Linked DNA regions of Arabidopsis thaliana. The protein of the gene in region 4 interacts with the protein of the main gene of each other region in a biochemical or structural test. Each region holds a gene or a part of one and is shown on either strand. Other genes may lie near its edges.

Region 1 (6,287 bases), on a different chromosome or scaffold from region 4:
TCTCTCTCTCTCTCTTGCTTCATTCAATCACGCATACATCTGTGTGTATATAGGTTTGATACGGCGTCCATATATGTTGATGTGCAGGAAGAGATGAATACGAAACCAATGAAGAACTGGGTAGTGAGGGGTTTCGTGAGTTCATATCTCTTGTTGATCTTAAGAAAAATGGTTTCCTTATTGGAGATTGTTGTATGTTTGGTGTCAAGTTCCATGGGATTGAACCTGCTAAACCCGGAACAGCGGAAAGTTTTAGCTTAATAGAGAAGCCTCTTAATCACAGAGTCACTTGGATGATGACCATGTTCTCGTCCTTCAACCCTGGAAACGTTCATCAGTCTAATGAATTTGTCGTTGGAACCCGGAAATGGTTGATATTATATTCCTCCTTTTTCCCAAAAACATAACACAACTTATATATAATACTAATAAAAATGCATCACAATATATTTGATCAGGAGAATTAAAGTTCATCCAAGAGGGTCTATGGGTGAAAAAGACAAATCATTTTCTGTGTATCTATCGGCACTAGGGTTTGTCAATAATGCACCAAAGACTAAAACTTACGCGAGGTTCAAGCTGCGTGTATTGGATCAAGTTAGCAGGAATCATGTTGAGAAAACAAGTATGTGTTTATTATGTTTTGGAAAGTCTTGTGATGCATGATGGTTAAATACAGTACTAATCTTTTTCTCCTGGTACGTATAGTTTCGGGTTGGCTTGGTGCAGAACCTGATGACCGCCATGGCTTTGCGGATTTCATGCCTCTAGGGGAACTTGATGACCCTTATTTGGTGAAGGATAAGCTTTATGTGGGAGTTGACTTTGATGTCATTTCCGTCTCTAATTACTGTTAGCTATATAATCAGCAAGAAATATTTATAACGTATGAATAAAATGCTGGAGAATATATATAGTACTATTATGTAACTAAGCTACTGATGCCGTAATGACTTGTGATGTGTGTCGACGTACGTGTTGCTGGAGATGAAGATGATGTGCTTGGCGTGTATTTTCAGTTTATGGGCATAACAAGACAATCTACAAGATTTCATAAGCCCAGTTTATCAACTATAGAGACTTGGTTCTCAATCGTTATTGTTTCTTGTTAGTTTTGTTTTGCAAATAAGATCTTGTTTTTTTTTCAAGGAATCGTGAGCATTCCATTGCTTTTACTACCTATATATATGAGAAAAACGCCAAAAGAAAAGACATAATTTGTTTGCCAAAAGAAACTTGTGTTCCACGTTGGGGATTCTTTGATCTTCGAACACAATCACAACCTCAACGACGTCACTCAAGTCTCCGGCGCTTTGGAATACGAGTTCTGCGACTCTTCTTCTCCTAAAGCCGTCTACAACCCTGGACACGATATCGTAACCCTCACGGAACCAGGTTTTCACTAGTTCATCAGCTCAAACCATGCTCAATGCGCATCGGGACAGAAGCTCGACATTCTTGTCGTTCATGACTCGTCACGTCCCATTCCTCCAACACCACCGAGCAAGATCCTTCCTCCTTGAAATATCTACAGAGTTGGTGTGGCTCCAAGGGATGGAGTGTTCCGCAAGAAAGTTACTTTTATTACAGATGGAGTGAGAAGACGCAGTTTCCGATCGGAGACAGTCTTCTTTTCGAATACGACAACGAAGTCAACGACGTCTTAGAGATCAGCGGGGACCTTGAATTCATATCCTGCTACCCGATTTCTCCCGTAGCCGTGCACATGACAGGCCACGATCTCGTCACGCTCACAGAACCAGGAGTCCATTATTTCATTAGCTCTAAGACTCCAGGTCACTGTTACGCTGGGCTTAAGCTACGAGTCGTGGTCGGACCACTCACCAAAGCCGTACCTGTCCCCAATGTTCCGACGAAGAAGATAGAGTTGTCACTTATGGACCGCTTCAACAGATGGTTACGCACCTTCGGACCTCAACCCCATCATTAAGATAATTAGTGGATGTAATTAGAGTTAAGACTTCTCTGTATTTTCTTTCGACTAAAAAGTAAGGAAATTTAAATACACTCTATTGCAAAACACAGCTCAAAGGTTGTTCTTTTCTTTTTTTCCAATTTTTTAGGATGTTATTCAAATTACAGACATATTATCAAACTTATCAGAGATTTGATAACAAAAGCAGAGCAAAACAAAACATAGCATTTTGATGAGTTTCCTTTTAAGGATATATATCTCTCTCTCTTTCTCTCACACTGAGTCTTGAGGATTGAACTTGACTGTTTCACGGTATATAAGCTCCTTAATGTTCTCTTCTGTCAAAGTAGGTTGCTCGAAATCAAAATTGAACGGCCTCACACATACCGGTTCTTCGTTGATATCATGCAGCGGCGCCAAATATGGGTGGCACAACGCCTCATCAACTACACACACAAAAAACATGTTCAGAAAATAGCCGAAGAAACAGAGAAGCAGTTATATAAAATATAACTCACCTGTGATGCGTCTGCTTGGATCAAAAACAAGCATTTTCTCCAGCAAATCGACTGCACCAGCCGACATGTTTGGGAATCTAGCAGCAAAGTTCTGTCTAGGGTACTGTGGAAGCTGTCTAACGTATCTTCTTGCATTGTCACTTCTTAAGAATCCCAAGCTTGAGTCATCAGGAGATCCTATAAGCTGCTTTCCAAAGATTCATTAATACCGTGAAGAGAGACTAAGTGGTGATTCTTTGGATGAAACATACTAAACTAGATTACCTCAGTGATGAGTCTAAGCTGATGAACATAATCTTTACCGGGAAACAAGGGCTCTCGTGTCATTGTTTCACCGAGTATACAACCGACAGACCAAATATCAATTGCTGCTGTGTATTCAGAGCAATTAAGTAGCAGCTCTGGAGCTCGATACCAACGTGTAACAACATATTCAGTCATAAAGTCAGTCTCGGATTTGGTCCTCGCAAGCCCGAAATCCCCAAGCTTTAGATCACAATTTGCATTCAGGAGCAAATTGCTAGGTTTCAAATCTCGATGCAATACATTAGCTGAATGAACATATTTGAGCCCACGCAACAACTGATACAGAAAAAACTGCAAAACATAATCGAAACTAATTACTAAACACAACTTCAAAGCATAACAAACGAAATCCTTATTAGCTCTCACTTATAAAGTATCAAGCAATACTCATCAGATGCTCTAACACAATAACAGCTGCTTCTAAAGTAGAAACAGAAGATTCAGCTGCTAGATATAAGCAAGATGGAGATTGATGCATACCCGACAATGATCATCAGTTAAGGGTTGGTTAGAGCGAATAATTTGGTGGAGATCAGTGTCCATAAGCTCATAAACAATGTAAACATCATTGAAGTTCTCTCTCTGCGGTGGTTTTATTATATCCTTTACAGCAATCACCTGCACAATAAACCAATATAAGATTCACACAAAAAAAACCAGAGATGCTGATGATTAGTAACACGTACATTTTCATGATCCATATGCTTGAGAAGCTTAATCTCTCTCAAAGTCCTTTTAGCATCGATAATATTGTCAAAAGCATTACCAATCTTCTTGATAGCTACCTCCTCTCCAGTCTCTGAGTTTGTAGCAGCACTGATCAACAATTATCAACACAAGTTATTATAATAACAACAGATTCCAAAACCCTAATTCCCAAATCTAAGAACCCCAGAAGTGAACATTACATGTTTCAAAAACCCAATCTGATTAATTTTGGAACTCACCAGACAATTCCATAAGCGCCTCTACCGATAGGACGAAGAGGAGGAACATACTTTCTAGAAACTTCGAAGAGATTGCCATAGACATTATACTGAACATAGCTACCACCATGAGTAGCCACTCCTTTGCTGCTGCTTTGATCACCCGAGCTTCCGAAACAACTCTCCGCCGACATCGGAGCAAAATTCCTCACAACAACGAAAACGAAGAACCCTAGAGAAATTGAGGAATCGAGAAGATGGGTGTTGACATTTCGTTATAAAGTCTCTACCTTTACCCTTTTTTTTTTATTGAACGGTAAAGAGGAAGTCTCCTCTCGAGTCACCCGTGACCCTTAAACCGGGTTTGCGTCTTCTTCTTTGGTTTTTGTTCTTTTTCTTTGTAATGTCAATTTTCAATTTTGTTTATGGTATCGAGTTGGGTATATCCGATGATTGTGTCTCTAAGTAATTGAGGAACGGGTAAGTGTTTTTAGTCAATTGGTTAAGTTTTGTTTACTGGAGTTTGCTTCTACTAAATCGCGTTATCCCACGAAGTAGAGATTAGATATGGTTATGACTTTTGCCGAAAAAATGTAATTGATGAAGTTTGTAGAATGGAACAAGTTAATGACTTCATGTAGGAATGTTCTTGATATCATATTATAAAGTTTAAAAGAATCTAGATGACAACTTTTCTCCAATAAGAATTTAAGTACGACTTGGTATATTGGTGGTGTACAAGTCAATGGGCGGCCAAATTGTTTTTGACCATAAAACTGACCTTTGATTCCAAAACCATTAGTGAAAAAAGGTTTATGTATAAGATAAAATGACATCATTTTGATTTTTTTTAAAAAATCATGGTTAAACAACTTATATAACCATGTTGAAGTTTGGTGCATTTGTTATTATTAATAGCTAGAATATCTGGTTTGCTTTGATTGATTGATCATGTAACCATGAAAATAACACTGATTTTTTTTGGTCTAGTGATTTACAATGGGCCTCAAGCAAACCCATCACTTATCCATTATCAACTAAGATGAACTAAAGCACAATTCTGACTAACTTGAAAATGTAGTTATAGCTTAGCACCGATTGAAAAGAGAGAGTTATCAATATTTGAAGCGTTTTAAAGTCTCATTTTTATCTGCATTTGTTATTACTTAACATCAACGATACCATAATTACATGTTTCCTCTATATTCACAAACAAGTCTTAGCTCTTTTCCTCTATATTAACACTTTTAACCATCGTTGGCAATGTCACTCCTAGCTCTTCTGCGCATTTCGTCCACAGGCTCTCCAACAATGCGTCTCGGGCAGAGATCACCATCTTCGACAAGCAACGTGTTTCCTTGGAGACTAGCTCAAACCTTTCCGAAAGTTCTATCACTGACTTCTCCAATGGTTCCACTAACAAAATAGGAACCGACCCTTCTTGTACCGCTGTGTAAAGCTTCTTCACACCGGTTTCAACAGCCTCGAGATCTTTTATAACCGTGAATCCGTCTGATAAAAATGTGTTTTTGATCTCCGGGTTAATAGTGTTCTGCAGTTCCATGAAAGCTTGAACCCATGGAAGCTCCTCCATCTCCTTTGGAATGGTTAGATAGAAGAGATTCTTGGAAGAACCCGAGAACGATGCATCAAACACGCTGAATATGTATAAAGTCTTGACCTTTACACCGTATAAAACTCGTAAGAGAACTTTTCCTTCCGCAGAGTATTTCTTCTTCCCCTTCTTGGAGATATGATGATGATGATCCATCGATTCAACCAGCCTACTCAAAACCGCGCCCCAGTTTTCGATACTCGGGTTCTTGGAAACCATGTGCTGATTCCAACGCTGAAGAATATTGCCACTGTTTGTCTCCAGCTTACTAAAAGCAAACTTTAGTAATAGATTGCCATGTTCCAAATGATATATCTCTGAGGTAAAGGCGTTGCAGAGTTCCCGCTTCAAGCTAAAGTCAGAGAAGATATAAATGAAATTCTCCTCCAAATCCGATACTGGAACCTCTAAATCCTTCACGAGCGTCCTGATACTCTTGTGTGTCTCACAAAGAGACTGCATGGCTTGTATCATCCAAGAAACACTAACGATATCATTCTTATCCTTTGGTACAAGTTCTCTAATCGATACCGTCAAGTTAGTCTCGAAATTGTTCAACAGTGAGAGAAGCTTTGGCGATAATCGAGCATTGTTCTTCTTCGTAAACAGAATCTTGAACGGGTTCCGAGAGCGTGTACGTTGTTGGCTCATATCAACTGAAAACACACAGAAAGAAGAAACAAAGTTAGTAATCTGAAACAATGAGCAAACCAATAACATTGTTCTGAATCCAAAATCCGAATCAATAGATCTCAAGAATGCAAAGACAGAACAAAAACCATTACTTTAACCAAACTCGCCGAAGATTAACGAAAACTCACCTAAAGAAAGAGATTCTTCCGAAATGTTACCGCTTACTTCAATGTTACGCTACTTCAATGAAGGAGAGAAAAAAACCCAAAAGAAAGTATAAATAGGAGATGGGTTTAGTGTATGATAATAAAACTTGAAACGCGTTCTTATAGGGAGGAATCAAAGAAACGTGC
Region 2 (4,610 bases), on a different chromosome or scaffold from region 4:
CAAAACGGATGTCCTGAAACCGTGCTTTATCTGTATAAGATGATGAAAATCTCAGGTTGTAGGCCGAACAAGATCACATTTGTAACTGTGCTCAGTTCTTGTTCTGACTTAGCGATAAGAGGTCAAGGTCAGCAGATTCATGCGGAAGCTATTAAAATTGGGGCTAGCTCTGTCGTAGCTGTAGTTAGTTCATTGATCAGTATGTATTCAAAATGTGGGTGTCTTGGAGATGCAGCTAAAGCTTTCTCGGAACGTGAAGATGAAGATGAAGTGATGTGGAGCTCAATGATTTCTGCTTATGGGTTTCATGGACAAGGCGATGAGGCAATCGAGCTGTTTAATACTATGGCAGAGCAGACGAACATGGAGATAAACGAGGTCGCGTTTCTGAATTTACTTTATGCGTGTAGTCATTCTGGCTTAAAAGACAAAGGGCTTGAGTTGTTTGACATGATGGTGGAAAAATACGGGTTCAAGCCAGGTTTAAAGCACTACACTTGTGTGGTGGATTTGCTCGGTCGAGCAGGCTGTTTGGATCAAGCCGAGGCAATAATAAGGTCTATGCCAATAAAAACAGACATTGTTATATGGAAAACATTGTTATCTGCGTGTAACATACACAAAAACGCAGAAATGGCACAGAGAGTCTTTAAAGAGATTCTTCAGATTGACCCTAATGACTCTGCTTGTTACGTCCTGCTTGCAAATGTTCACGCCTCAGCTAAGAGATGGCGCGATGTATCAGAGGTGAGAAAATCGATGAGAGATAAGAATGTGAAGAAAGAAGCGGGAATCAGCTGGTTTGAACACAAAGGTGAAGTTCATCAGTTTAAGATGGGAGATCGCTCTCAGTCTAAATCTAAAGAGATCTATTCATACCTGAAAGAACTGACTCTGGAGATGAAGCTGAAGGGATACAAGCCTGATACAGCGTCAGTATTGCATGATATGGATGAGGAGGAGAAAGAATCAGACTTGGTGCAGCACAGCGAGAAACTAGCGGTTGCATTTGCGCTCATGATATTACCTGAAGGTGCACCGATTAGAATAATCAAGAACTTGCGGGTTTGCAGTGATTGCCATGTTGCTTTCAAATATATATCGGTGATCAAGAACCGAGAGATCACGTTAAGAGATGGTAGTAGATTCCATCATTTCATTAACGGAAAGTGTTCTTGCGGCGATTATTGGTAGCTGGGCAGTTAAAGTATGCTATGACTCTCTGCTTCAGAGTCTTTCTGGAGTCTTAAGCACTCAGATTGGATCGGGAAGCCATCTGGGACGAAAGCATTCAGCAGCAAGGGTAAAATTACACTGCGGGTAGTAGCTTTGTAGTCTACCTTGAGATTGCTCCTGCCTGTGTTATTCTTGAGTCAGGAACATGAAGTGGTTTGCTGTCAACTTTACTTACTCAAGCCATCTCCGCAAGGTAGAAACTATGGTTCGCGTTATTTCGTATGTACCATGTTTTTGGTCGTTTGTGTAGTTTCTAACCTTCCACACCCTTGGCTTGCGATTCTTTCCAAAGCAGAGATGTTAGATCAGAGGATGGAGTGGGTTCTCAAGTAGAATGCACTTGCGAATCCCTCAGATCAGATTTTTCATAGGTAAAGTTCGTTAACTTCAACAACACCACTTTAGTAAACATGTGATAATCAATCGTCATAAGCATCTTCGATTCATTTTTATCTTATGCAAGTGTTTGCTTTATTATGATTTGTTAAGTTTTGCATAAATACGGACGTTGAAGCACTTCCCAGAACTCATGAGTGTTTTTATAAACTATTTATTAAAAGTTAGTATAAGAAAACTATAACATAAAAGTAAAATATAATTTAGACAAATGTAGCGATTGGTCCAGTTACTCATCCAAAATTCCAAATGAATCTTCCACCGTTGATAATTCTATTCCATTGTTTTCTTCTGTAGAAGACCATATATTATTAAGTCTCTAGTCCATTGTCAATAAATGGAAATACAAAAAAAAAAAAAAAAAAAAAAAGAAGAAGAAGAAAAAGACAGCATTTAATGAACGAAAATAATATTAATGAATTTGGAAGAAGGAACGAACCAACGAGAAAAATCAACGAAATAATTTAGACAAATGTAGCGATTGGTCCACTACCCATCCAAAAGTCCAAATGAATACTTCACCGTTGATAATTCTATTCAATTGTTTTCTTCTGTAGAAGACCATATATTATTAAGTCTCTAGTCCATTGTAAATAAATGTTTCTTTCAAATAAATGGAAATACAAAAAAGAAAAGAAAAAAAAGACAGCATTTAATGATGATAACGATTTGGAAGAAGGAACCAACCAATTAGAGTAACAAACCAAGGAGGCGACTCACATGAAAGCAAAAGCTGACATGGCAGTGAATTCAGTTTTATAAAAAAGGCTTCAAGGCCGAGAGTTCGTAGTACAAACTCTTCTCTCAGTCATCACAGAAAATAAAAAACAATGGCGAATAAGTTCACTAGACAACAGATTTCAGAGTTTAGGGAACAGTTCAGCGTATACGACAAGAATGGTGATGGTATGGTTCATCGTCTCTATTCCTCTAATCGTACATATTGGATCCTGAATCATCTTCAAAGCACTGAAAATGACTAACACAAGTCCTTGATTACTTCTTGTAGGTCACATTACCACAGAGGAGTTCGGTGCCGTGATGCGTTCCCTCGGTTTAAACCTGACCCAAGCTGAGCTTCAGGAGGAGATCAACGATTCGGATTTAGATGGTGACGGAACCATCAATTTCACTGAGTTCTTGTGCGCAATGGCTAAGGACACTTACTCTGAGAAAGACCTCAAGAAAGATTTCAGACTCTTTGACATAGACAAGAATGGTTTCATCTCAGCTGCTGAAATGAGATATGTGAGGACTATCCTCCGGTGGAAGCAAACTGATGAAGAAATCGATGAGATTATCAAGGCAGCTGATGTTGATGGTGATGGTCAGATCAACTACAGAGAGTTTGCCAGGCTTATGATGGCCAAGTGAGATTTAAACAACTTTTCCGCTTCCCCTTTTTTTACTACCTCTTATCTAATTTCATAAAGAATGTTCCTCTCTTGTTCTTAAATTTCATTCTGAGTTCTTGTGTGTATGGCTAGGAATCAAGGTCATGATACTAAATATGACACAACTGGTGGCACTTTGGAGAGGGACTTGGCGGCCGGGGTTGCCAAAAATATCATCGCAGCGCCAATGACCGACTTCATCAAAAATTTGTTCGAAGCGTTGTTTTCTTGAAATGGTACATCAGTAACTTTATGCCATTAGGGTCTGGCTGGTATGTTAGATCTCTCTAAAAAGGCGTTTGATCTTTGAAAATAATTTCTATGTAATAAATTTATTGTGTTACCATCTTTTCTTGCATGCAATTTATTAAAATGAGTTTGTAATATGGTTTCAGTATCGAATATAATTGGGGTATCAATGTATCTTTTGAGAAAAACATTTAAAACGTAGCAGAACTAATTATTGAAAACTGGTAGCATTACTAAAAATTGATCTAAATCGGTTAATGATTTGGCACATACAGTGATCAAATCAGCTAAGCCTCATATCTCACCGTCCCAGAGTTCTTCAAGACTCTTATAAGGACTCATCTAATGAATAATGACATGCCTCGCACCAACCTGCCCTGCAACATTGAAAACACACGTCTACAATTTCGATAACCCAAGTGTTTTGAGCAAAACAAAGGACGCCCTTTGACCCATTTGGACTACAATGTGTGGAAAATTACTGCATGTTCAATATCAGAAAACTTGGATAACATGTCTTCGATATGGGCTTTTCTTATTTTGTACCCGTGTAATTTCGCTGGCCCAAAATCCAAAGCAACAAGGGTAAATTTGTATGCAGTACATGTGGCATGTTGGGTCATATGGAAACAGGTCACAAGACTCAGATTCTTTACATTGCGGCGGGTAGTAGTAGCTTTCTAGTCTACCTTGAGATTGCCCCTGCCCGTGATTCTTGAGTCGGGCACAGGAAGTGGTTTTCTGTCAACTTTACTTGCTCAAGCCATCCCCGCAAGGTAGAAACTTCTGTGGTCTTTCTCGTTATTTCTTATGTACCATGTTTTTGGTCGTTTGTGTAGTTTCTTCTAACCTTCCACACACTTGTCTTGCGAATTCCTTCCACAGCAGAGATGTTAAATCAGGAATATTCAGGATGTAGAAACTTCTCTGCTCTTTCTCAAGTAGAATGCACTTGTGGAATCCCTCAGATCAGATTTCATTGGTAACGTTCGTTAACTTCAACAACAACACTTTACTAAACATGTGCTAATCAATTGTCATACGCTTGTATTTCTTCGATTCATTTTTATCTTATGCAAGTGTTTTCTCTATTATGATTTATTTAGTTTTGCATAAATAAGGACACTCCTTCGGAGTCAGTATAAGAAAACTATAACCTAAAATATAAATTAGGCAAATGTCCACTCACCCATCCAAAATTCCATTGTAAATAAATGTTTCTTTCAAATAAATGAAAAAAAAAAAAAAAAACAAGTTGGAAGAAGGAACCAACCAAGTAATTGCCAGTCAAAGGAGGCGACTCACACTTGAAAGGATAAGCTGACATGGCAGACA
Region 3 (5,320 bases), on a different chromosome or scaffold from region 4:
ATTATTCTGAGAAATTGGGAGGAAATAAGTGAAAGTGTGGATTGGGTTTTCTCTTTTCTGTATACTTAAATTGGGATTTTCTGTTTGAGGGGTTTTTGATAAAGTGTGGAAATTTTTTTACTACCTGTAATTTTATTATTATTTTCTTACTAAATATTATATGGGCATGGCTTTCTCACAGTCTCACTTTTCTTTTTTTTTACATAAATCATTTTCAATTATTCTTTAAAGTGTCTAGACTAGTGGTTTAGCCATTAGATATTTTCGTTTGAGTGAAGGAGTTCAACTCCTCACTTTCATGAGGAAAATAATATCCAAATACTTTAGCATTCACATAAACTCAATATGCTGCTTTGTTTTAAGATTTTTTGCATTTTCCACAAAAAAAATTGTGTTTCGTATTCATTCGCTAAATATAATTCCAAAATCATATTGAAACACCTATAATCAAAGATTGCAAGAAGAAGAAAAATATCATATCGAAAAAGCTATAATATAGAAACAAACTATGTATAAACAGAATTCCAAAATCATATAGAGAAAGCTATAATATAGAGATTATATTGGATTTGACAGCTTCACAAGTGATAAAACAAAACTGGATCTGAAAATTTCAATGAATGTGGAATAATGGAGAATTTGTTGAGATGGTGTGAACACGAAGTAGTAACAACTAACAAGGTAATTAAGGATCATTGGCTTATATAATAAATAGATTTAGAAAAAGTAATCAGTCAATGTTGATCATCATCTTGACAAATTCATCATAATTGACTTGGCCATCACCATCCAAATCTGCCTCCTTTATCATTTGTTCAACTTCTTCATCTGTTAGCTTTTCTCCTAGATTTATCATTACATGACTCAACTGCAATAACAAAGCTTTTCAAATTAATAAATAATTAACGTAATTGTTAGTCTAATTATTGTAAATTAAGTTGTGCATGTTAATCAGACGGGTCTGACCCTGTACAGAGAATAATAATTGTTTATTATCCATTTGAATATGCAATACAATATAGTAGGTCAAACGGCCTAACTTGAACAATTTCTAATTTCGGTACGAAAAATATGAATAAACCAAATTCATACAATTGTTTAGTTTTTTTTTTTTTAAGTTGTAAGCAAAATACAGCTGGTTTTAGCCTAAGTTTTGACCAATCGATATAGAAAACCCCAAATTAATAAATTGAATTGTGTTGCATGCAAAAAGGTGTCTGCATTAATGTAACTTTTGAGGATGTAAAGAAAGGTATATATATTTAATTAAACTAGGTGAAACATGTGCCCTCCTGTCAAATAAACCAATAAAATCAAACGCATTTTACTCTATCTAACTACTTTGTATTAAAATTTCTTTTGTTCCTCTTCGTTATTCTCTAAAGATTCACAATGCCAGCTAGCTCTAAGCCCTCACGATGGAAAACAGACTTTCGAAAATATAAAATCAAATAAATAAATGGCCATGTCTTGTTAAAAAATGTTTTAGAACATAAATGAGACAACTATGGATCTCTTTAAATTGGAAGATCGTCTGGCTTTGTTGTCTGATATTTGTCATTGATTCTACATATGTGAAAGTGTGTTTTAGCTGGATTTCTCGTTTTTTCTAGTTAATGCAGAATTAATTGGTCCAAGTGGTTACATAAAAATACTATGCTCATAATTATTGTGCTTAGCCTGTATTTGACGACACTTTAGAGATATAGAGCATGTACCACTTAAGCAAAGAAGACATTTATGAAATTGGTTCATGTACCTAAACTAAATTTGACAATAACCAAAATTTAGATAAGGATTTCTAGTAGATACAAAAATCTAAATAATTATAGCTCTAATCATTTATAACCAAATAAAAACACAGTTAGACCGTACATGGTATTATTGGAGAACGTTGTACAAAACGCAATCCAGTGCATCGAACTAATTTGTTTTTATAAGTTCTTAAAGAGGATTTTCCGCATAAGTTCCCTTTTAAGTTCTCAATAAGTCAAGCATATATCTAACTAAATATACACATTGACACATATATCAAATTAGTAATAAAGAGAGAAAAAAAAGAGAGTAAGAGTCACGGACCTCACTGGCAGAGATGTATCCATTTTGGTCTTTGTCAAAGACTTTGAATGCTTCTTTCAGCTCTTCCTCCGCATCACTTTCCTAAACCATCACATGATCATGACAACAACTTAACATACAAAAAAACTATTGTCATAAAAGTCTTTGTTTACATTATACACATTTACGTGTCTAGTTCTTCACAAATCAGATTTATTCGTAGTGAAAAACCGAAAGCAAAACAGATTTTGCTGTAATACAAAAGCTGAATATTTCCAATATATTTCTTAAGAGTTTTTAATAAACTAGAAGCATAATGAATGAGACAGCTCCATTTTGACTAGAACCTGTTAGGATCCCATATCAAAGAGTTACAATAAGGGACCTATAACATAATATATAAGAAATCATATAGACAAAAAAATTTCACTTGATGTAACTTTTTGGTTTGTACGTGGCTACGTTAACTTGATGTAATTAGTTGTGAAATAAATAAGCATGAGAGATCAAGAGAGAGTGGAACCTGAAGTTTTTTGGCCATGAGGTTGAGAAACTCAGCAAATTCAATGGTGCCGTTGCTATCAGAATCAATCTCAGTGATGATATCATGAAGTTCTTGTTCTGTCGGATTCTGATCCAACGAACGGATCACTGTTGCAAGTTCTTCCACCGTTATACAACCTATTAAAGGATTCCAAACAACCATAAATAAATGTCACACAACATAATATTAGTCGTCGTCTTTATTATCTTTATTCTATATATGACCATCTAGAGAAAGGAAGAGAACCGTCGCCGTCTTTGTCGAAGAGACAAAAGGCTTCTTTGAACTCAGTGATCTGATCTTTTGTCAGTGCTGTTTCTTCCATTGTTTTCTGAGAATATTTTGAAGACAAAGAGAGAGAGAGAGAGAGAGGAGGGAGCTCAAGGTTTGAAGTGCTTAAATCTCTGATTTATGGTCTATATGTAGAGTTGTGACAAGACCTTTTCTACATTGGACTTATGTACTTTTCAACTACTTTAAGCTCTTTAATTGATTCTCAAATTATTTTAAATTGAAAGGGCAGTACTGTTTTTTTTTTGGGTCTAGAACTCTTGGATTGAACAATTTAATTCTAGTCACATGGCTGAATCCCATATAATAAATTAATAATTGTCGCTGTTTGTTAAAGTTCAAATCACTTGTGCAAAATTAGTTTTGAAAAAATCATCTTATTCTAACAAGTAGAGACTACTACAAATAGACATAGAACGACAAGTCCTAAAACAAACAAGTATAAGCCTACAATAGTCTTTGATAAAACGTCCCTAACTTTTTCTGTCTAGTTCAAACCCATTAGCCACTCATTTTGTACGCAACAATTATGTTCTTTTGTTTTTTGTTTTTTTCTGTTTTTTCTTAAATAAAAATAAAAATATTTTATTGAAATGATAAAAATATAAATTTACAATCAAAAGATTTTAAGCCTATACAAATGATCCTATAACAAGAAAAATAAAACATAGAAGCATACATCGTGATTCACAAGTTTTGGTCAATCAACTCAACCAAAGCGTTGAAGCCGAACGAGTTAGATAAAAATATGACTATTTTGAAATTTTATCTTATAATTAAGTTTTTTGTTTTTTGTTTTTTTAAGAAGAAGGGTAACTACTGCTTGAAAAAAGCATAATGCTAAACTATTTGCATTAAAAACTTTGAATTGGAGGTCTAAGGATGAGCCGTCAACGGTAGAAACTCAAAGTTCTCTGGCATAAACTCCTCTCGCGTCATGTGACAGTGACTCGTTGTTCAAGTCCATAAGCTTTCCAATAATATGGAACCTCAAGAACCAAATTATGCGAACGATGCAAGCTCCATCTACCAATTTCTTTCCCCAAAGTCGGATAGAGCAGAGCATGATTTATGCGATTCATAACCACATCGAACACCATCGATCTTACTAACTCTTCTAGAACACAAAACAAACGCAACAAGAGGTGATAACTCATTGCAGCACTAACTTCAATTATGAAGAACCGCACTAGCAAGACACATTCAAAACCAGGTAGCACAAATAACTAGTCAAGAAATACAAGTGATGTCAACAAAAGAGACCGCAATTTAGCCACCACCGCAGCTACCAAATACACAATCTGAGAACCGAGACGATGCGATAAACTTGACGCTTTAAACATGTTCTTTTGTTTTTTCTGACTTCAAAATCAGTGATCACACTCTTTTAATACTCAGAAAGAACAACATTGAAATTTGTCTACGTACATCTCAACATAATGACCTCATTGGCCATCTTACCCGCTCCTGTCCATAGAAGACATATTAACGTACAACTCGACTGTCCATAGCTGTGAATGCATTAAGGCTATGAAGCTTAACTTGGCCAGCATGATTTTGTAGAATCCGTGCGTTCCCACACAATGATTTAAAAGTTTATCCACACAAATCATTCTATTTTCAAATTTGTTCCGATCGACGACATTTTCTAGAATTCACGGAGGTAGGAATTTTGAGAATATTACAGATTCATTTGAATCACATATTCACACCACTTATTTATTTTCCTATACATTTTGTTTGAATAATTGCGACTGTTTTTATATAACAGATGAAAATATATATTCCACGTCACATATCATAATTGAGAAGAATATCTACTGCTAAAAGATTGTAATCATTAAGAAGAATATCTACTGCTAAGAAATAATTTAGGAGATACTTGCTGACTTGCATTGAATCTGCAATTGGTATTCGAACAGTAGGGGAAATGCATGTATCATACGTTGCATTATAAGTTCATAAGCACGATATAAGAAAATAATTATAAATAAACGATTAGACGTAGCAAATTAACGAACCAGCAATTTCTTTTTGAAACGATTCAACTTTTCATATTTTGAGTTTCTAGAAACGAATTGTAAAAACAAAAAAAAAAACAAAATTATGGGGCTTTTCTTCATTAGTAATCTTTGCATTTTTACTCTTCCTAGGTGGGAAAATAATTCAGGTTAAAATATAGATAAAATATATTTGCAACCTTAAATAGCTCACTTTAGTAATACTTTTTTGACCCCTTTAATTAAAAGAATTAACATAGGGAAATTAACGAATATTTGTTTTATGTCATTGCAATTACAACAAAATATTTAGACAACGAAGTACGTTGTCCTTTCGGCTAATGGAGTAAAGAGGAAAATGAAACTGATGGGCCTCAGCACAAACCAAGCCCAAGAAACAAAAGTGGAAGCAACGGTCATCTGGTTC
Region 4 (5,602 bases):
TATTACCCTTCCTTTTTGTTTTTGGTATATCAAAACATTACTCCTCCTACTAGATGATTTCTTTTATATATTGTGTACTTTCTACAGTATTTTTGTTTACCGGAAAATTCTCTCTTTTTTATAAGAAAACTTTTTCCGGACCAAACATGGTTTTTTGTCTTTTGATACGAAGTTTCCTCTTCAAGTGGAACTTGAATTCGGGTTAACCCACACTTGACTAACAAAAATAACAATTCTATTTCTCTATATGGCTCAGTTATTAGCTTTTTTTGGCTTTCCATTTTCACCTTTTAATTTGAACTGAAATATTTGATACCACACTAAAATATCTCTCTTTAACTAACCATATGGTTATATACTACACTTTGCAACTAATTGATAACTATATTTATTTTAGTAGTTTTATTTTCGTTGTACCAAAGCCGTCCAATACTAATTGATTAAACTGTTATTTCAGTTTCTATAAGTTCTCGTTGAATCCCTTAAACTTGTAGCTTTTTTATTTGTTTTTGCCGGGCTTGTTGTAGAAATTTCGAAGATTGGTCTTATGTAGAAAATTAAAGAGAATATTCTTAGAGTACTTTGTTAGAGGACCACCATTGATGTTTGGATTGTTTGTAGTAAATATTGTATTAAATTGAATTGTATATTTTAAATAAATAGTGAAACAATAGACAGTTCACAGTTGGAACATAAACTAAGAAATAATTTCATACGTTCTAATATATATATGCATACAATTTTGTTTTAACGTAACTACTTGTATTTTAACATATATACATAATAGCAAAAATATTCTTAATCAAACCAAACTTGTCTTACATATTTTTTATTTTGTCATCTCATTAATCTATTTTTGAAAAGTTTGTATTTGTGAGATTTCTATATATTTTTATGGATATACAAAGTGAATTTAATCCAATAAATGATCTTCTGTTATAAAAACAATGAATCAAATGGATTGGCCTACATGAAGCTTTGGTTTGGGGACAAAGAAAATATAGAGAGGGAAAGGTCTCACAAGTCACAAAATATTATACAAAAAAATAAAAACAAAGCACATGTTCTGACACATGAACATGGTTCCTTCTTCACTTCTCCTTTTCTTTCTAACAGCTCATTTCTCTCTATCTCTCCACTCTTCCACTACTCTCAGCCTCCCACTCAATTCATTCTTCTCTTTCCCTTGCATTTTATAATGCTTTTTGCCTTTTTTTCCCTTATATTAGCATTGCATTGTCATAAATTCCTATGTATATGTTACAACTGATGATTGATTTTCTTGTTCTTTAATTGTTTATAGTATATATATAGAGCTAGGGAGCTAATTTATGTATATATGTATAGACATGGCTTCTCTATAAGCTTAATTGTACATGTGAAGGACAGAAAGAGAAGTGTATTAATTGTATTGGACTATTCTTTCTTTGTCATTTGATAAAGTGGCCACTCTTATGCTATCTACTCATTAATGTCCATACACACTGACTCCTAAACTTACGTATGATGATCTTTGCATTTACATGTATAGTAATCCTGCATGCGTTAAACTAGTTAAACAAGAGTAAAAAAGTTGTGTCTGCTAGACAATGACTCAAATGATAACATTTTAACCAAAACATTTGCTCACCTCCATAAGAAGTTGAATGTTTCGATAAAGCTTATATAGGTTAAATCTTAAAAAGTTAGAAACTAGACTTAATTACAAGTGTTTCTTGAATCGATTAGTGGTATATATACATAACATTCATATGATTTCCATATAATTTAAAAAGAGGAAATACGAGAGGGCATCCGGTAGCATCTGCCCAAGTGTCAGCTCGCCGGACGGCCAGAAAACAAGGCGGGGGAAATGATCAAACGGCGGAGAAAGGAGGAGAGAAAGGCGGGAGCATGTGGAAGAGCAAAACATAAGAATGTTTCCAAAGGATAAATAATATCATACACTGTTTTGAAAAGAAAAAGTCTCTCTAATAAAATAAGTTTAGCAAAACAAAATTAAGGGAGAGGGGTTCACTAAGAGCACGTGCTGCCTGATTCTCCATTTGCTCTTAAGAGAGACCTCAAATCTTTTTAATTTTTCTTCCGAAACAGCTGTTTCATAGCTGTCCGATCTCTCTCGCCCCCCATGTGACCCCACTCAGAGATATAAACCCTTTGAGATCGAATCCATTTATATAATTTTATTTCGCTTTATTCTATTATAAAAATTATCTTATCTCATGCATCCCTCTCTCTTTCTATCTCTTACTTCTGTTTTGTATAACTACTCTTTGTTATACATAGCCATTTTAGTTACTCTGGTTTGTTTCTCATCCCATTCTCTCTCTCTTTCTCTAATGGTTCTTAATCTGTTTTAGCATTTTGATCATCTAAAACTTTCAATTTCTCTCTTGATCCTCACTTGAATTTTTTGTTGTTTCTCTCAAATCTTTGATCCTTTCCTTTGTTTTTCATTTGACCTCTTACAAAAAAATCTGGTGTGCCATTAAATCTTTATTAATGGCACAACTTCCTCCGAAAATCCCAACCATGACGACGCCAAATTGGCCTGACTTCTCCTCCCAGAAACTCCCTTCCATAGCCGCAACGGCGGCAGCCGCAGCAACCGCTGGACCTCAACAACAAAACCCTTCATGGATGGATGAGTTTCTCGACTTCTCAGCGACTCGCCGTGGGACTCACCGTCGTTCTATAAGCGACTCCATTGCTTTCCTTGAACCACCTTCCTCCGGCGTCGGAAACCACCACTTCGATAGGTTTGACGACGAGCAATTCATGTCCATGTTCAACGACGACGTACACAACAATAACCACAATCATCATCATCATCACAGCATCAACGGCAATGTGGGTCCCACGCGTTCATCCTCCAACACCTCCACGCCGTCCGATCATAATAGCCTTAGCGACGACGACAACAACAAAGAAGCACCACCGTCCGATCATGATCATCACATGGACAATAATGTAGCCAATCAAAACAACGCCGCCGGTAACAATTACAACGAATCAGACGAGGTCCAAAGCCAGTGCAAGACGGAGCCACAAGATGGTCCGTCGGCGAATCAAAACTCCGGTGGAAGCTCCGGTAATCGTATTCACGACCCTAAAAGGGTAAAAAGGTAATTAACATTTTTATTTACTATTTCCCAAAACCCCAAGGAAGGTCATGCATGCACGTACAGTTTATAATAGTATCTGATAATTCGATACACCGTTTTTATAAAATAGTTAAATTAGTGTCACATCGATAAAATCTAATTTTTGTTTTTGCTGAAATTTTCTACAGAATTTTAGCAAATAGGCAATCAGCACAGAGATCAAGGGTGAGGAAATTGCAATACATATCAGAGCTTGAAAGGAGCGTTACTTCATTGCAGGTAATTAATTTACACACAAAGATATACTATGTTTATTAATGTAAAACAATCTAAATAAAAAGTTTAAATACTGATCAACAAATCATTTAAAATTGTGGAATGAAGACTGAAGTGTCAGTGTTATCGCCAAGAGTTGCGTTTTTGGATCATCAGCGATTGCTTCTCAACGTCGACAATAGTGCTATCAAGCAACGAATCGCAGCTTTAGCACAAGATAAGATTTTCAAAGACGGTAATTTTCTATTTTGAACTTTTTTTCAATTTTCTAACATTGTATAAAATTCTTCTGAATATATTTTTCAGGGATACTATCAAACTATAGAAATTTGTTTGTTTTTTTTTACTATTATTGTCTGAAGTTTCACTAGCTCCATGTATTTAATAGTCACTGACAATATATAGGCTCGACCAATAATTATTCTTTAGTAATATAAACTATATACAAGGAAGTACTTGCGGCAATGCATGCTTCATGATTCATAAAATTACAAACATGAAATATATATTGTCCTGCTTGAATAGATTTAGTAAGGTTTATATATATCTATAGCTAATTATTTTATAACATGGATCTAGCTAGTAATAATGAATCACAAGATCAATAGAGTTTAGTATGATTAATAAGTTAGAACAACTGTCCATGTGTGAACATATATATGAGATAAGTATAGATATTTATGTTAACATGAAACATGTGAGTACTCATTGAATATTTAGGTTTATTGACAACACTGATAATTGTAAATTTTAATATTTTCAGCTCATCAAGAAGCATTGAAGAGAGAAATAGAGAGACTTCGACAAGTATATCATCAACAAAGCCTCAAGAAGATGGAGAATAATGTCTCCGATCAATCTCCGGCCGATATCAAACCGTCCGTTGAGAAGGAACAGCTCCTCAATGTCTAAAGCTGTTCGTTCACTAAGATCTTTCTTTTCATGGCGAAAAGATTCTTGACTATAAAACCTCTTTGTGTCAAGAAATTAATTTATCAAAGAAGATGGCCTTTTTTATTTGATCTAATCACATTTTTTTAAGTTGTGATGAATTTGCTTTTGATGTATCTGTTTTTTTTTTTTTTTCTTATGGAGTGGGAGGGGGAAAGTGGGAATGATATGTAAAAAGAACTTAGCTGATTTGTTGTTTATTCAATTTTTTTGTTGGAGTGTCTATGCATTGTGTACTAATTGATATTTTTTCCGAATGATTTTTTTTTCCATCAAATTTAGGGTAATCGAATAGTTAAAGATTCCCTCTTTTCACATGGTTCAAATTTTGATGTGTGCCATCATCCATATAATAAACAAATATAACAATTTATATACTTGTTTAACTTCTAGTGACAAAAAGAACAGGATTTGTGAACCATGAAATGTTAACACATAGTTTCAAAATTTATATTTGAAGTGACTGAAAGCGATTTCTCATTCCTTAAAAACTCGTACGATTATTTCATTGTTAAGAAAAAATCAATTAATTATGATGATTTAATAATATTTTAACCTCAGGTTTTTTTCATTTTTTGTCCTTCGAAAAAATCAAGTGAAAATGTAAGGTATTACTAGCTAATGTAGCCACTTCCTTACGTAGGGCCTGGACATTTAGATGATGTCATATAGAATCTAGATGATATATCAATATATACATATATCAACGAATACAAACACATCACGAATGTCATACATTGTATAATTACAGACAAAGAAAACAAGATTAGTGAGTTTTATTTTCTTATGAATCAAACCTTTATGAGTAATTAGGGTCAAAGTGGGTCAAAATCTGAAAATGTGGGGTGAAAAAAGGGAAAGAAAAGGGAGAACGTGGAGACATCTGAAGGCTAAGCTGTAAGTTCACGTGCTATGTTCTTTGGCCTGGACCACTACGGTCTCGTTGCTACATGATTGGCTTTGTTTCCTCTTCTTTTCTTTTTTTATTTTTCTTAACAATTTGTAAATAATGTTTAATCAAATACAATTTATCTTTTACTTTGGTTTCAAAGTTGAATGAGACAGTCAAAGTTAATATGGAGGATAGAGTAAAGTTACAGAGGAAAGCTACAAAGTAGGAAGTTTAAAATTTTGAAGAGGATTATAAAAAGAAAATTTGAAGAGGAGAAAGTTTTTTAAAGACAAGAGGTTAGTGGTCTTGTGTTGGACTTGTTGGGATATGTATGAAAGCGAGATGTTGTCAGTTCCAGTGTTTTTAACTTATGTCAGTG

Evidence for each region.
Region 1: of the proteins of BZIP61 (region 4) and MPK4, one has a biochemical effect on the other in vitro, tested with the Arabidopsis thaliana proteins (one large-scale study listed by BioGRID).
Region 2: the proteins of BZIP61 (region 4) and AT2G41090 form a complex in vitro, tested with the Arabidopsis thaliana proteins (one large-scale study listed by BioGRID).
Region 3: the proteins of BZIP61 (region 4) and CAM8 form a complex in vitro, tested with the Arabidopsis thaliana proteins (one large-scale study listed by BioGRID).

Annotation. Positions count from the first base shown.
Region 1 is NC_003075.7:564,812-571,098, reverse strand, and holds MPK4 (MAP kinase 4), read right to left. Parts: upstream 4,183-6,287; 5' UTR 3,881-4,182; coding exon 3,708-3,880; intron 3,577-3,707; coding exon 3,447-3,576; intron 3,379-3,446; coding exon 3,241-3,378; intron 3,052-3,240; coding exon 2,719-3,051; intron 2,639-2,718; coding exon 2,455-2,638; intron 2,383-2,454; coding exon 2,210-2,382; 3' UTR 1,952-2,209; coding exon of another isoform or gene 1,535-1,951; 3' UTR 1,377-1,534; coding exon of another isoform or gene 1,233-1,376; 3' UTR 1,095-1,232; coding exon of another isoform or gene 1,023-1,094; 3' UTR 858-1,022; downstream 1-857. Other genes in the region: AT4G01390 (TRAF-like family protein), read left to right, coding at 88-370, 459-625, 709-857; AT4G01380 (plastocyanin-like domain-containing protein), read left to right, coding at 1,023-1,094, 1,233-1,376, 1,535-1,951; BPS3 (BPS1-like protein), read right to left, coding at 4,906-5,952. UniProt on the Arabidopsis thaliana protein: The ANPs-MKK6-MPK4 module is involved in the regulation of plant cytokinesis during meiosis and mitosis. Essential to promote the progression of cytokinesis and for cellularization (formation of the cell plate) during male-specific meiosis.
Region 2 is NC_003071.7:17,133,361-17,137,970, forward strand, and holds AT2G41090 (Calcium-binding EF-hand family protein), read left to right. Parts: upstream 1-1,986; 5' UTR 1,987-2,462; coding exon 2,463-2,538; intron 2,539-2,641; coding exon 2,642-3,002; intron 3,003-3,119; coding exon 3,120-3,258; 3' UTR 3,259-3,639; downstream 3,640-4,610. Other genes in the region: AT2G41080 (pentatricopeptide (PPR) repeat protein), read left to right, coding at 1-1,194; AT2G41082 (uncharacterized protein), read left to right, coding at 1,465-1,569.
Region 3 is NC_003075.7:8,395,407-8,400,726, reverse strand, and holds CAM8 (calmodulin 8), read right to left. Parts: upstream 3,016-5,320; 5' UTR 2,928-3,015; coding exon 2,849-2,927; exon of another isoform or gene 2,765-2,848; coding exon of another isoform or gene 2,740-2,764; coding exon 2,582-2,739; intron 2,161-2,581; coding exon 2,080-2,160; coding exon of another isoform or gene 2,032-2,079; exon of another isoform or gene 2,022-2,031; intron 869-2,021; coding exon 731-868; 3' UTR 501-730; downstream 1-500.
Region 4 is NC_003074.8:21,519,979-21,525,580, reverse strand, and holds BZIP61 (Basic-leucine zipper (bZIP) transcription factor family protein), read left to right. Parts: upstream 1-2,062; 5' UTR 2,063-2,502; coding exon 2,503-3,125; intron 3,126-3,292; coding exon 3,293-3,383; intron 3,384-3,488; coding exon 3,489-3,615; coding exon of another isoform or gene 3,616-3,632; exon of another isoform or gene 3,633-3,915; intron 3,916-4,143; coding exon 4,144-4,292; 3' UTR 4,293-4,607; downstream 4,608-5,602. UniProt on the Arabidopsis thaliana protein: Transcriptional activator.